Linked DNA regions of Danio rerio. The protein of the gene in region 1 binds, or shares a complex with, the protein of each later gene. Links are inferred from orthologs where the notes say so. Each region holds a gene or a part of one and is shown in the gene's direction. Other genes may lie near its edges.

Region 1 (7,782 bases):
CAATGAACAACTGTATTTTCATTAATTAACGTTAACTAACATGAGCAAATACAGTAGTAAATATATTGTTCATGTTAGTAAATGCATTAATTAACATTAACTAGCGAACCTTATTGTAAAGTGTGACCAGTAAATTAAATGTTTTAATGTTTTTGATGCCACTGATCATGAAATATGATCATTCTAAAATGTAAACGACTTCAACTGTAAACGAATGTAAACGACTGAAGACCAACTAAACTTCTCTGACCACATTTCTAGAACTGCTCGATCTCGCAGATTCGCACTCTACAACATCAGAAAGGTCCGACCCTTCCTATCTGAACAACTCCTTGTTCAAGCTCTTGTTCTCTCCAAACTGGATTACTGCATCTCTCTACTAGCCGGGCTCCCAGCAAACTCTATCAAACCTCTTCAGCTGCTTCAGAACGCAGCAGCACGAGTGGTCTTTAATGAACCTAAAAGAGCACATGTCACTCCGCTGCTCATCCATTTGCACTGGCTGCCAGTTGCTGCTCGCATCAAATTCAAAGCTCTGATGTTTGCTTACAAAGCAACTTCTGGTTTTGCTCCTTCTTATCTGCTCTCACTTCTGCAGATGTATGTGCCCTCCAGAAACTTACGCTCTGTGAATGAACGTCGCCTCGTGGTTCCATCCCAAAGAGGGAAGAAAACGCTTTCCCGAACTCTCGCATTCAATCTGCCCAGTTGGTGGAATGAACTCCCTAACTACATCAGAACGGCAGAGTCACTCGCTGTCTTCAAGAAACGACTAAAAACTCAACTATTTAGTCTCCACTTTCCTTACTAATATGCAACTTCCTCTCTGACTCCTCCACTAACTACACAAAAAAAAAAAATTAATAACGCTTTCCTTCTTACACTTTACACACCTGAAACTTGCCTACAGCACTTATTCATTGTTGCTCTTATAGTTGTGTAAATTTCTTCCTTGTCCTCATTTGTAAGTCGCTTTGGATAAAAGCATCTGCTAAATGTAAATGTAAAATACATCTAAATACTTACCTGTAAAATACACCTACACTACCTGACAAAAGTCTTGTTGATGACTGTTTCATTTATCCCTCTGAACAGGTTAAGAGTCTGGGTGTCATCCTTGATAGCATGCTATTTTTTGATTCTCACATCAATAACATCACCCGGTCTGCTTACTTCATACGCAACATTTCCCGTCTCCTCCTTCTCTTACCCCTCACGCTACAGCTGTTCTCGTCCATAGCCTTGTCACGTCTCGTTTCACGTCTCGTTCCCTTTAGTCTCACTCTTACATCCCTCCATAAGCTTCAGTTGTCCCAGAACTCAGCTGCCTGTATCATCACCAGAACCCCTTCTTCTCATCACATCACCCCTGTCCTGCAGCAGCTTCATTGGTGACCTGTTTATTTTCGAATTGATTTAAAAATTTCGATGTTAACACTCAAAACCATCCACAATCTCGCCCTTCTATATTTGTCTGCCCTCATCCACGTTCCTGTTCCTTCTCACAACCTGCAATCTTCTTCCTCTCTCTGCTCGTCTATGGGCAACAGAGCATTCAGCTGCTCTTCTTCCCGGCTTTGGAACTCACTACCACCTGCCACTAGAAGCATTGACTCCCTCACACTATTCAAATCAAGACTCAAAACCCACTTATTTAAGATGGCTGTTAATATTTAATTTTATCTGGTCCATTCCTGTGTATATTTTTATTATTTCTCGTTGTTTTATTGCTCTTGATTTATTGTACGGTGTCATTGAGTTGCCAGAAAGGTGCCTTTAAATAAAATGTATTGTTATTATTATTGCCTATTCAAGTTTTAGGTAGAACAAAAGAATAACTTGACTTCTAGTTGATCATTTGGTATCAGAAGTGGCTTATATGAAAGGCAAAGGCCTCTAGATTACACTTATTTTATCAGAATATAACATGATCATGCCTTGATTTTTAATGATTTCATTAGGACAGTAAGGTCTGACTTTGCTTAGACTAAAGTCTCATCACTGAACAGAAATAATGTCCAGTATAGAATATAAAGTCCTGCTGCAGTGGAGACAGAATGAATATTGTGTCTGACTCCATCATGAGCTTGGAGGACTGCATCCATACATCTCTGCAATGACTCACTGATTAATAAAGTCATCTGGAATGGCAAAGAAAGCGTTCCTGCACGACTCCCAGAGTTCATCAGGATCCTTTGGATTCATCTTCAATGCCTCTTCCTTCATCTTACCCCAGACATGCTTAATAATGTTCATGTCTAGTGACTGGGCTGGCCAATCCTGGAGCACCTTGACCTTCTTTGCTTTCAGGAGATTTGATGTGGAGGCTGAAGTATGAAAAGGAGCGCTATCCTGCTGAAGTATTCGCCCTCTCTTTGGTTTGTAATGTAATGGGCTGCACAAATGTCTTGATACCCCAGGCTGTTGATGTTGCCATCCACTCTGCAGATCTCTCACACGCCTCCATACTGAATGTAACTCCAAACCATGATTTTTCCTTCACCAAACTTGACTGATTTTTGTGAGAATCTTGGGTCCATGCAGGCTCCTGTAGGTCTTCTGCAGTATTTGTGATGATTGGTAGACTATGCAGGTAAAAACAAATCCAGTCCTCAATTACTTTTATTTTGAAAATACGTAATTTTGTGTGTGTTTTTTCACCAAATCAGTGACATCATTTATGAATTTGACAATTAAATAGGTAAAATCCTGTATTTTTCTTAGCAGATTAGTAGTTTTGATCAGGACTGAGGTTGATTAACAACATTTATAAAATAAATTATTTATCTGATGCATTTTTACAAGTTTAATTCGGTGGATGTTTCCATCCCTATAACAAAAAGGTAGTAATTTGCCCAGAGAGTATCGTTGAGTTTTTTTTTTTCATTATTATTATTTCAAAGCATTTTCTTAAAATATGTGTCAAAATAAGATTTGTAACCAAAGATCATTCTGCTAGCTGAAACAGAGAGAGCTGTGGCCAAATTAAGCCTCAAAATCGCGACAGAGTGGATGAAAACATCCCCAACTCGACACAACGGTTAAGTTCGTTCCGGAAATGTTCAAAGCATGGAGGAGAGTCTTCCTGCATACAGCAGTGTTTGTAATATTTAGCAATTAGGAAAACAATATTCACAATGTCTGATAATGACTTGTCTGAACCATAAACATAAAGCAGAATACATCGGGAGATGTGTCTTTTACAGTGACACTGAACGACACGCATGACTCCCAGGTTCCCGTTTAAAGTCTTTCCGGAGTGCTCGCTCTGCGCATGCGCATCAATTAATCCTGCTCAGCTCCATCATGGCGGCGAGGGGCCATGTGCAAGACCCTAACGACAGGAGGCTACGACCTATCTACGGTAAGATAAAAACCGCACCGTGGGGCTGATGGAGACCCTGCTGGTCTCGCTAGTGTTGCAAGACCGACCAGTGCGTTGTTGTGTTTATCAAATGGCTGCAGGAGCTGTGGAGAGCCGGTGAGGCCTGTGGAGCTGAAGCCGCGGTCTCAGTTCGGCTGCGGTGCCCTATGACAGTGCGTCTTTATGCGGTCACAGTCTGACCCTTATATCGATGCAAAACACCTTTGCGTTTAGCCCCTTTATCACAGAAATGCGCTTTAAATATCCGGACATAAGTGACAATGTCATCTGATGATCCAGCTCCTAACCTGTGAGAGATGTCAAAGAGATTAACTGCCACATATGAGCCTTTTGTGCTTTAATATTTCATGTTCTTTCTGTGTTGTTATGCTTGTAGACTGCGAGACTTGTGCTTTGCATGCCTTTAGATATGTTTAGGTTAGTATAACCTTTGTAATTATGTTACAGATTCATAAAGCTGCACTTTATGTCTAAATGAGCTGAGATGAACCTGCTGATTCTGTACTAGAGCTTATTTTTAAGCCTCTTTGTGAACTATGCCGTCTAAATTTGGGATATGTTCTCAATATGAGTGCTGAAAGGCCATTTTAATAACTTTTTAAATGCTTCAAATCTTAGTCTTAACATTGCCTAGAGTTACACCACTGATATTTGATTGAGGTAAAGTTGGTTTTATATTCGCACATTCATTCAGTGACAACTTGTGACCTATATTGTTTACCATGATACTTTAAATATTAGGTCTGAAATCACATGCAAGTAGGACTTCAAAACAACATTAGCACTATTTATTTGACTGTGAATCATTTTGTATTTAGATAATATGATTTTTACTATTTAGAATAAGCAAACAATGCTTTTCTGAAATTATATTATTGAAGAGAACGTCTGAATGTGTGAATATAAAATTAACTTTACCTCATTTGATATGTTTAACTAGACCTGTCACAATAATCCTTATATCGATTTATCGCACAACACGTGGACATGACCTCAATCGATTTTGGTGATGCAATATATATCGGCCATACATAAAAACCAATTCTAGCCACATTTTAGCTGGTTGCACAACCTCTCTATCTCTATCGGAGGTGTCAGAGTCAATATGGATAAAAAAAGCACTATAGTATTTGCTATAAATTACTATAGTACGCTTTCATGTGGGTGCCTGATGACTGAAAATAGATCGGTTACTTTTTTCTAGTTCTTTTTACCTTGGACATTTTTAACATCTATTATTATTATCATTATTATTATTATTATTACTATTTATTTGTTTAGGATATCCATTTTCACAATCGGATTTCAATGCCTCATTATGTAATTGTTAAAATGACTATAATTAAATGAAATATTATAAAGGATGAAATATGATGTGTTATTTGGAAAAGCGTACTTGCATTATGACACTATTAACGCCCATTTCCGGTCTGATCAACTAAATCCTTTCAGAGGTGCACCCAGTTCATCAACTCCTCTAGAAACTATACCTGGATGATGAAGGCTTTCAGCGGTGATTCAAACTGAGCCGAGCCCAGTTTGATGAGCTGTTGTCCGTTGTCGGATAGAGGATTTCTCTTCATGACACCAACAACAGGCGCTACATCATAATCACGCCCCTACAAGAGCAAGCTCCTGATTGGTTAACGTGGTGCAAATGTCAGCTGAAGTTAAAATGTTCCAGCTTGACCAGATTGTTGAACGCACTAAAAGCTCAACTCGTGCGTAGTCACGTCATTTGCGTCGCCTTATTCGCGCAAAAACTTGCCGCAGGATGTCTATTCTCGTCTTAGCAGTGACTTAACATGTAAATCATCCGCATCTGGAGGGAACGCAGCATTAGAGGCTGGCTATATTTACACTCTGGGGCCACTTGTCTGTGTTTAAATCTTTTTATAGAAGTTATTTTTGCATAATATATCTTCTTCAAATTAAATTATATCTACGTTCCTACACTCACCTATTGTCATGAGCTTTGCGTCATGACTGAAAGGACAAGATCTTGGATACAAGCGGCCAAAATGAGTTTCCTTCGTGGGGTTCACCTTAATGGATAAGGTGAGGAGCTCTGTCACTCGGTAGGAGCTTGGAGTAGAGCCGCTGCGCCTCACATCGATAGATGTCAGCTGAGGTGGCTTTGGCATTTGTTTTGGATGCCTCCTGAACGCCTACCTAGGGAGCTGTTCTAGGCATGTCCCAAATGGAGGAGGCCTCGGGGAAGACCCAGGACACGGTGTAGGGACTATGTCTCTGGGCTGGCCTGGGAACGCCTCGATCCTTCCAGAGGAGCTGGAGGAAGTGTCTGGGGAGAGGGAAGTCTGGGGTTCTCTCCTAAGACTGCTGCCCACACGACCCAGCCCTGGAAAAGCAGTAGAGAATGAATGAATGAATCAATTAGGGTTGTAACGGTATGAATTTTTCACGGTATGATAATCGTCTAAAACAATACCACGGTTTGACGGTTTCGCGGTATACGGTATGTTACAAATGTTACAAAATAATAGAACAGTGAAGCAAATTTGACTTTTTCCAAATAATATATTTTTAGTTACTATAAACAACACCACTTACAATGAACAATTAAAAAATAAGAAAATAATAAATAATGTGTCAAAGTCCAAATAAAGTCCAAATAAACATGGTGCAAATCCTCAGTAAAAAATAGATATAAATATTTACTATACTATAAATAGTTACATAACGAAACTAGATTCAATATGGAGCATCCTTAGGTTTTATGTGCCAGCATGGATATGGTTGTCTGTGGATATGGATTTGGATATGGTTGTATGCAATGCAGACAAACAGCTGCATCTTCATTTGCGTCTTTTGAAAACAGCAAGAGCAGCAGTTCGTCTTAGCTGTGTCACTGTTTTGTCATGTTTCTGTGCTGCTGTGCATGCAAAAGTACTTAGTATGAGAATTATTTCATGCAAAACTTTTTTTTTTTTGCGTTTTATTTAGCCGTGCATAAATATATGCCTTTCTCTCATTCCGTGTTGTTCAAAAAGCTTGGTCCACAAACAAAAGTGAAACCTATGCTTATTGGTTGTGATATAGCGAGTTTGAACCAATCTGGGCATGGAGGAGGGACAATGCATCAATGTATCATGTCTGATTTGTCCGGAGACACAGTGACGAGTGTTTCTTTGTCAAATCAGCGTTGTCAAATGTTGATGACGTAACCGCACTGATTCCGGAGCCTCTGAAAGTCCGCGAATGTTATGTGATGCAGCACTGGAAAGCTGAGATTCTCTTCTTTATGCCAATCTTTGAATTGTATGAATCGGATCAGCGGATCAAAAGTTATTAAACATTTAAGAGCAATACTTATTTTTAGCCGCGGGCGGCTGTCTCGGTCTTTAAGGGTTAAAACCGTTGATATGCAATTGTTCATGGTATGATAATCGTGCACGTTCAAATCGTGGTAAAACGTCATACCGGTATATTGTTACAACCCTAGAATCAATCAATTATATTATTATTTATTATATAATATAGAAATTATAAAAAATACTATGTTTCATTTTGAATAGATCCAAACTGTTATTATATTATTTTTGGTCATATCAGCGACTCACTGCCACGCTAGCCAATCCATAACAATCAACAGATCACTGACCTTTATTTTGGTGCTTTGTGCTTGGAGTCAGACTGTGTTTCTGTGTGGGTGATTGAACAGAAGGAACAATGCTAGTTAGATGTATTACTGGACAGAGACACAGAACTGTTCTCTTGCAGAAATTCAGCATCTACTGTCTGGCCTGGTTAATTTTGGGATCCAGCTGTCATGAGACACAGTCCTGTGTTCTTTTAGCAGAGACTTTTGGGACAGGAGGGAGGGGGTTCCTGCGCTCAGAATTGGATTGAGCATTTGGTGAGAGAACGTTCTCACAGTCCGAGCTCTGTGTTGTGCGTCTGAGTGTCTGCAAGCATTTGGTCCTCTTTGCCAGTGCTTTTATACCTTTAATTTTGGATTAGCATCATAGGATGTACAAGTTACCCAAAAATAAACCATTTTCAGTTCAGTTTATTGTTCAGTTTATTTATTTTTTATTTCATTCAATGTGTTAAACAGTGCTGGTTTAATGAACACTTCACTTTTTTAACGCTTGTATACTGTTCAAATTGACTACCCCTTCATTATGTTAGGGGCTGTTTTTGTCCAATTGACTTTCATTATCACATTTTTGATTGCAAAGCCATGAGGCCAAATAATCATACATTCCTGATTGTTGCTGGTTTTCCCTCTTGGGAATAGGTATAATTTGCCATTTTTACTGTTGATTATTAGTTGGCTTCATTTAGACCCTTTAGATAGGCCTGTGCAAAAAAAGTTTCTGACTTTTATGTAGAGTTATATAGATTAAAACAGCAGATTATACTGTTTCTGCTTA
Region 2 (7,641 bases), on another chromosome or scaffold:
AATATTGTTTCATAAGTTTTTTTTTTAAATATTATAAACAAATTATAACTTTTTTTCAGCAAGGATGCATTAAACTGATCAAAACAAACAGAATAACTTCTCATTTTAATCTATTTTAAATAATTGCTTTTATTTTTAACCCTTCAGTAATAAAAATAAATAAATAAAAATAAATAAATAAACATTTTTGAGGAAACATTTCAATGGTAGTGTATTTATTAAACACTACCATTCAAATAATAATGTCTTGAAAGATTAATCTAGATTATTAGATTAATACAAAAATTAGACTATATATCTAAAAAAAAAAAAAAAAAACTGGCCATGATATTGCTTATAGACTACCCATAAAAAAACCAAGTGGCATAGTGTGTGCTTACACTAAAAATAAAGGATCTTTATGGCATTAACAAATACATGAACAATCATTAAACATTCCACTTCACAAAAAAAGTTATTTATCTGTCTTTAAAAAAAAAATATATATATATATATATATATATATATATATATATATATATATATATATATATATATATATATATATATATATATATATATATATATATTAACTAATAATAATAATTAATAATAAATTATATATATATATAAAACTTCAGCAAAAAAATTAAAATAATAATAATTCTTCACACCAAAAAAGAGAAAGTAAATCTTTTAAAAGAAAATGCTAATTTTAATTCAAACAAAAAAAAACATATTCTTTCATACCACCACTGCAAATTTAGAGCATAATTGAAGTTTGATTGAGGGTTACGTGTAATAATGCTTTTTAATAATCACCCTTAAAACACAGAAATTCAGTTGAAGTCAGAATTATTAGCCCTCCTGTTAACCTTGAATTCTTTTATATTTTGCCCAAGTTGTTCACAGAGATTTCTTCAACACATTTCTAAACATAATAGTTTTAATAGCTCATTTCAAATAACTGATTTATTTTATCTTTGCCATGATGACTAAGACTAAGACTATGACTAAGATATTACTATAAGTATTCAGCTTAAAGTGACATTTAAAGACTTAACTACTGTAGGTTAATTAGGCAAATTAGGGTAAATAGGCAAGTTTTTGTAAAGCGATGGCTTGTTCTGTACACTATCAAAAAATATATATTGCTTAAGGGGGCTAATAATTTTGACCTTGACTAAAATTGACCTTTAAATGGTGTTTAAAAAATTTAAAACTGCTTTTGGTCTAGCCAAAATAAAACAAATAAGACTTTCTCCAGAAGAAATATTATTATCAGAAATACTGTAAAATGTCCTTGCTCTGTTAAACATCATTTGGGAAATATTTGAAAAAAATAAAAGAAAGTCTATTAATTTTTACTTCGACTGTATGTAACTTTAATAAAATAAATTAATAAAAAAGTATCAAACCTTGATGTAACCATCGCTCCTCTGCAGACCAGTGAACACACCAGGATCCCAAAGAACTGAAGCCACTCCATTTTCAGGTGCTAGTCTCCAGTGAAAGAGTTTACTAAAGTACCGAGACCCGTAGAACGCTTTTAAAAGTGAGACTCAACACCTGATCCTGCATTACTCCACCTACTGTACACACCTGAGGGAATAACAGCACATTCACCGCACATATAAAACACACTTACATAACACCACAGAGAGCTGACAGAGAGTTCACCTTAAACTCTGTCATCATTTACTCTTTTCCTCTTCATTCATTATTGAGTTGTCATGTTATTAGAGCTTATTGGTCAAAAGTTGTTACTTTTATGAGCCGCATGTTTGGACTTCTTCAACAGTTGGATCCAATGTCTTTGGGTTGCTCAGTGGTTAGCACTGTCACCTCACAGCAAAAAGGTCACTGGTTCAAGTCCTGCATGGCAAGATTCTGGCAATAATGCAGTTTTGGTTTTAATGGATCTGCGCTCTGCTTTTGATACAGTCGACTCGATCATACCATACTCCTTTCACGTCTGGAACATTGGGTGGGCATAAAGGGTTCAGCACTTCATTGGTTTCAGTCATATCTGAAATCCAGGTCTTTTTCAGTTTCTGTTGGCCAATTTATGTCAACATCTGCCAATCTTCTGTGTGGTGTCCCCCAGGGCTCTATTCTGGGTCCAATGCTCTTCAATTTATATATGCTTTCTCTTGGTAATATTAAAAGGATATATAACATCTTTTTTCATTATTATGCAGATGACTCCCAGCAGTATGTTCTTTTAAAATCTCAGAACTCCCAGCAGTCTCGAATTGATTGTCTTCAGCATATTAATTGTTGGATGGCAAAAGACACTAATTAATAATGACAAAACGTCCTTAAACTTAATAATGACAAAAGTGAAGTTATTCTCTTCGGCCCCTCAAAAACAAGAATGTCTTATATAGTGGGCTTGGGAAGTCTTACACCATATGTTAAATCGCAAGTAAAAAATCTAGAAGTTATCTTTGATTCAGAGCTTTGTCTAGAAAACAAATTTGCTCAGTCGTTAAGAATAGTTACTATAAGCTGAGGATCATCTCCAGACTCAAATCCATTCTTTCCTTTTAAGATCTGGAAAAGTCATACATGCTTTTATCAAGTCCCGCCTAGACTATTGCAATTTCTTTTATGTTGGTCTCCCTCAATCTTCATTGGCACGGTTGCAGTTGGTTCAAAATGGGGCAGCTAGACTTTTAACAGGCACCGAAAAACAAGCTCATATCTCACCAGTTTTAGCATCCCTTGACCTCCTGTTAATGTTAGAATTCAGTTCAAGGTTTTACTTACTGTTTTTAAAGCACTGAATGGGCAAGCACCTTATATCTGAACTTATTAACCTACAGTCAACTCCTCTGCCTCTTAGGTCATCAAATAAAATGTTATTGCTAATTCCTTGGTCACTATTCAAACTGGAGATAGAGCCTTTGCAGTCTGGTTTTGGAACCTGCTGCCACCGGACATTACGAGTGCTTCTTCTATCTCTATTTTTAAGTCCAGACTTAAGACACATTTTTATTCAATTGCCTTCCCAGGCTTTTATTATTTTGTGTGCATTGTTGCTGTCATACTATTATTCCTATTATTACTTTTATTGTTATTTTACTGCTTTAGAATATGTGCTATGGTTTTGTTCAGCGCCACACTGAAGTTACTGTAAATGTGCTTCATAAATAAACTTTAGCTACTTACTTACGTTTCAAGATTTAACTGCAAATGTCACATCCATAACACTGGAAAGAAGACAACCCCAAAAAAAGATATTTTGAAGAATGTTGTAAACCTATTTTTCCTACTATGGAGGTCAGTGTTAAAGTTACAGGACATTAGCTTTCTTCAAAAAAAAAATCTTATTTTGTGTTTAAAATAAGTGTGTTTAATATAAACAGAAGAAACTTATAAAGGTTTGAAAGGACTCGAGATTGAGTAAATAGTAAATAAATAATCATTTTTTGAATGAACTGTCCATTTAAGAGGAGACTGATGTGAGGAGTTTTGATAGACAGTAAAATATTTGAAGAAACTAGCATCATGTTTTCTATTTGTGAACTGAAAGTCTTACTAATAGCTTATATTAAATTCTAACTAACTAATAAATAAAGAATTCGTTAAGTATAGAATATTAATTGGTTATAAATGAATAGTTACCTTACATCGAATAAATCGGCCTGTGTTTTTCCTCCATTTAGCCGAATGATGTCGCTGTCCAAACCACCAACAGTAAAACGTACGTGTGACGTAGGGGTGAGAGGTCAGAGCGTCGTCCTGTCCTGCAACACACTGGAAAATGACAACATTACGAGCTTTCACGTGCGATGATCTGTTTAAATTCAACAATATGTGAGTAATTTGATTACTAGTTATATAATCACAATTTCAGAAACGTAACCTACTGTTGTGGCTTGATTACAAAGTGAGGGTGATACGATGTTACTCAGTACGTTACCATGGTATACCCATTAAGCCTTTACTTCGCAATGGTATCACTACAGTTGTTATATTTAAGTTCAAATGACTGTGTTTTGAACTAGTATGTAAATGCTACGCCATCGTACTTACGTGAAAACCATGGTACATGTACATGTCTGGTGGTTTAACGTTACTGTGCACGTATATATTGTTATTACTGATTAATAATGACGATTCAAGTAATGTTCAGCCATATATCTAGTTGTGATATCAGATTTTTGCCTTTATAAATGTTATTAATTGGACGCTTACTATTGTATTTGCCCACATATGACCGTGTACGACAAAATAGTCATAAGTATCACTATATAACTATAACGTTACATACAACTATTCAAATATAGCTTATGAAAATCTGTAATCTGAGGGTTAAAAATAATAAAATAACGAGAAAATAGCCTTTAGATGTGTCTAAATGAAGTGGATAGGAATGCACATTACTAACCAAAACATTTTTGATATTTTTGCAGTAAGAAATATATAAAATGTTAATAATGATTTGATTTTGGCATAAAAGTCAACCATCATGACACATTCAGTGTATTTTTGGCCAATGCCAAAGATAAAACAGCAAATTAGGACTGGTTTTGTGGTCTAGGATCACATACACTCACCGGCCACTTTATTAGGTACACCTTACTAGTACCAGGTTGGACCCTTTTTTGCCTTTAGAACTACCTTAATCCTTCATGGCATAGATTCAACAAGGTACTGGAAATATTCCTCAGAGATTTTGCTACATATTCACGTAGTTGCTGCAGATTTGTCGGCTGCACATCCCTGATGCAAATCTCCCATTTCACCACATCCCAAAGGTGCTCTATTGGCTTGGAGTCTGGTGACTGTGGTGTGGAGGCCATTTGAGTACAGTGAACTCATTGTCATGTTCAGGAAACCAGTCTGAGTTGATTCCTGTTTTATGACATGGCGCGTTATCCTGCTGGAAGTAGCCATCAGAAGACGAGTACACTGTGGTCATAAAAGGATGCACATGGTCAGCAACAGTTCATGTAGACTCTGGCATTGACACGATGCTCAGTTGGTACTAATGGGCACAAATTTGCACTGACAGAACTGCCTCTCACTGGATATTTACACTTTTTTGAACCATTCTCTGTAAACCCAAGAGATTGTTGTGCGTGTAAATCCCTGTAGATTAGCAGTTTATGAAATACTCAGACCAGCTTGTCACCATGCCACATTCAAAGTCACTTAAATCCCCTTTCTTCCCCATTCTGATGCTCGGTTTGAATCATCTTGACCATTTCTACATGCCTAAATGCATTAAGTTGCTGCCATGTGATTGGCTGATTAGACATTTGGGTTAACGAGCAGTTGGACAGGTGTACCTAATAAAGTGGCCGGTAAGTGTGCATCTGAATGAATATGCTAGGCTAATATTTACATTTCTGTATTTTTATCCCACAGTAATCTGGACCCCCTGACAGAAACAGTATCCTTTAAGAAAAACTCACTGACATCTTTGTCTAATTAATCAGTTTGTCACTAATCTAACTAATTGTCTTCCTCTGTATTTTGCATACTTGTCCGTTTTTCTTAACTTTCAATGAACAGTATGGAATTCCCTTCTATCTTCAGTATTTGGCTCATTGGCCGGAGTATTTCATAGTAGCTGAAGCTCCAGGCGGTGAACTGATGGGCTACAGTGAGTGCCTCTTTCTAATTTATTTTAGCTTCAAATAAAAGTGAATAACCAGACATTGATTACTCACCTGTATGTCATTCCACACCTGAAAGTCTGACTTGAGTTTCCTCTGTGAAATAAACACTTTGAAAATGTTTACATGCATAATGCAAAATATATTTTCCAAAACAAATATACTAATTTTATTTTTATTTGAGCCTATCCATTACTCAACTGTGCGGATGGATGATTTGTTGCAGTCAGTGGAAATTAACCACAATCCTCTGTCATATATTTGCTAATTTTTTAATAGGTCATAGTTTTAAAGATTTTTCCTTGAGCTGATTTGCTTTTATTATATTTAGATTTCAAAGCAACTATATTAATATTAAAAAAGAAACGAATTATGGCATAACGAATGCCCTTAAATAATGTATCCTTTGACAGCAAGCATCAGTGTTTCCTAGATTGAAATAAGAATAAGGGATAAGGCAGGACGGTGCTGGATTTTTGCATAATTGGAAATAAAATCCTGCAGGCGCCCCTGGACTTACAAGTTGTGCATTGTGCATAACCAGTTGGCTCATCATTTAAAGTCGTCACTATTAAAGTAGTTGACCAGAAGTTTGTCCTTCCTCTAGCGTTTTTCACAGTTTTAAGTTCGCCATTGGCAATTTTTCTCTTTATGTTCGCTATTGTACGTGGCTGGAAATCTCTATGCGCATGTTTTTTCCTAATGCAGGCCCGATATGCGTGCTAGCTATGACGTGAAAATTGGCTGGAAGCCCAGCCAGAGGGGCATAAAAAAGTCAGGTCCCGTCGGGCTCAAAGGCAGGGCTCTAGATAAAAACACATACACAGGCTAAATTTCAACATGCAGCTCAATAAAAGTAAGCAAATTCTATCTCTTTCCTACAGGGAAAACCAGCAACAATCAATAATGCATCATTATATGGTCTCATGGCTGTGCAATCAAAAAATATCATAATAATGGAAGTCAATAGGGCAAAAACAGCCACAAAAATAACGAAAGGGTAGTTTGCCAGTGTATTGTTGAGGTATTGAAAAATGTCTAAGCATTTTCCCAAATTATATATATCAAAATAAGATTTGTCTGCAAAAATCATTCCATTTGCTGAAACAGAGAAAGTCGTGGACTAATAAAGACTCAAAATCACTCCAGAGTGGATGAAAACATCCTCGACAGCACAATCAAGGGTAAACTTATTGTGAATATTGCTGTATGAATAACCTGTATGTCCATTGTCATCCTGCAGTCATGGGAAAGGCCGAGGGCTCCGTCGCCAGAGAGGAATGGCACGGGCACGTCACTGCCCTCTCTGTGGCCCCAGAGTTCAGACGGCTGGGTCTGGCTGCGAAACTCATGGAGATGTTAGAGGAGATCTCAGAAAGGTGTTGTAGCATTACTCGTTCCAGCTACAAACTTATCTGCTAGATAAAATGCATGTAAAAGAAAGAACACGCTACTGAAAGTGTAACATTCATCAAGCTAAACATGACAACATGCAGTGCTCAGCATAAATGAGTACGTTTCCTTTTAAAAATGAATAGTTTTATCCATTTCTCAGTGAATATAGGCAATATACATGAACATGTTTGATTTTATTAAACAGTTATGTCACCTAACATCTATAGGAATAGAAAGATAATACATTTAAATTCAAATGAAATTGAATCCATTAAAAATAAAAAAAATTATATATATATATATATATATATATATATATATATATATATATATATATATATATATATATATATATATATATGTATATATTTATTAATATTAAGGGTGTCACGATCCTCCAAATCCTCGATTCGATTACATTTTCGATTCTAAAGTCACGATTTGATTCGATTTTCGATTTTGAATAATTAATTAATTAATTAATAACGAATTAATTATTAGTAGCCTACCGTTTAAAATACCTGACTTGCATGGTCTTTGTTTTACCCATAAACAAATCATACAGTAAATGAATAAAGGTAAGTTACACACATAATTACAACCTGTCAATCACTTTTTAATGCGGCACTCGTGATCT

What was found. The genes of interacting proteins can lie anywhere in the genome.
Region 2: the proteins of naa25 (region 1) and naa20 are in contact, whole or in part, in a cryo-EM structure (PDB 7STX), measured with the Homo sapiens proteins. The link is inferred for Danio rerio from reciprocal best matches to the Homo sapiens genes NAA25 and NAA20. Residues at the interface, in NP_079229.2 of Homo sapiens: Ser226, Glu227, Ile228, Asn259, Asp261, Asp262, Trp263, Gln264, Arg318, Arg321, Leu325, Lys362, Pro363, Cys364, Thr367, Asp368, Val371, Leu457, Thr459, Glu460, Leu461, Ser504, Ala506, Leu510, Leu532, Asp533, Lys535, His536, Ile537, Gln538; in NP_057184.1 of Homo sapiens: Thr2, Thr3, Leu4, Arg5, Thr8, Cys9, Asp10, Leu12, Phe13, Phe15, Asn16, Asn19, Leu20, Pro22, Leu23, Thr26, Tyr27, Gly28, Ile29, Pro30, Leu33, Gln34, Leu36, Ala37, His38, Pro40, Glu41, Pro49, Glu52, Met54.

Annotation. Positions count from the first base shown.
Region 1 is NC_133185.1:3,867,590-3,875,371, reverse strand, and holds the start of naa25 (N-alpha-acetyltransferase 25, NatB auxiliary subunit), read left to right. Parts: upstream 1-3,272; 5' UTR 3,273-3,306; coding exon 3,307-3,364; intron 3,365-7,782. UniProt on the Homo sapiens protein: Non-catalytic subunit of the NatB complex which catalyzes acetylation of the N-terminal methionine residues of peptides beginning with Met-Asp, Met-Glu, Met-Asn and Met-Gln. May play a role in normal cell-cycle progression.
Region 2 is NC_133195.1:52,308,097-52,315,737, reverse strand, and holds the start of naa20 (N-alpha-acetyltransferase 20), read left to right. Parts: upstream 1-3,720; 5' UTR 3,721-3,748; coding exon 3,749-3,801; intron 3,802-5,358; coding exon 5,359-5,383; intron 5,384-5,505; coding exon 5,506-5,596; intron 5,597-6,852; coding exon 6,853-6,988; intron 6,989-7,641. Other genes in the region: CD109 antigen, read right to left, coding at 1,398-1,468. UniProt on the Homo sapiens protein: Catalytic subunit of the NatB complex which catalyzes acetylation of the N-terminal methionine residues of peptides beginning with Met-Asp, Met-Glu, Met-Asn and Met-Gln. Proteins with cell cycle functions are overrepresented in the pool of NatB substrates.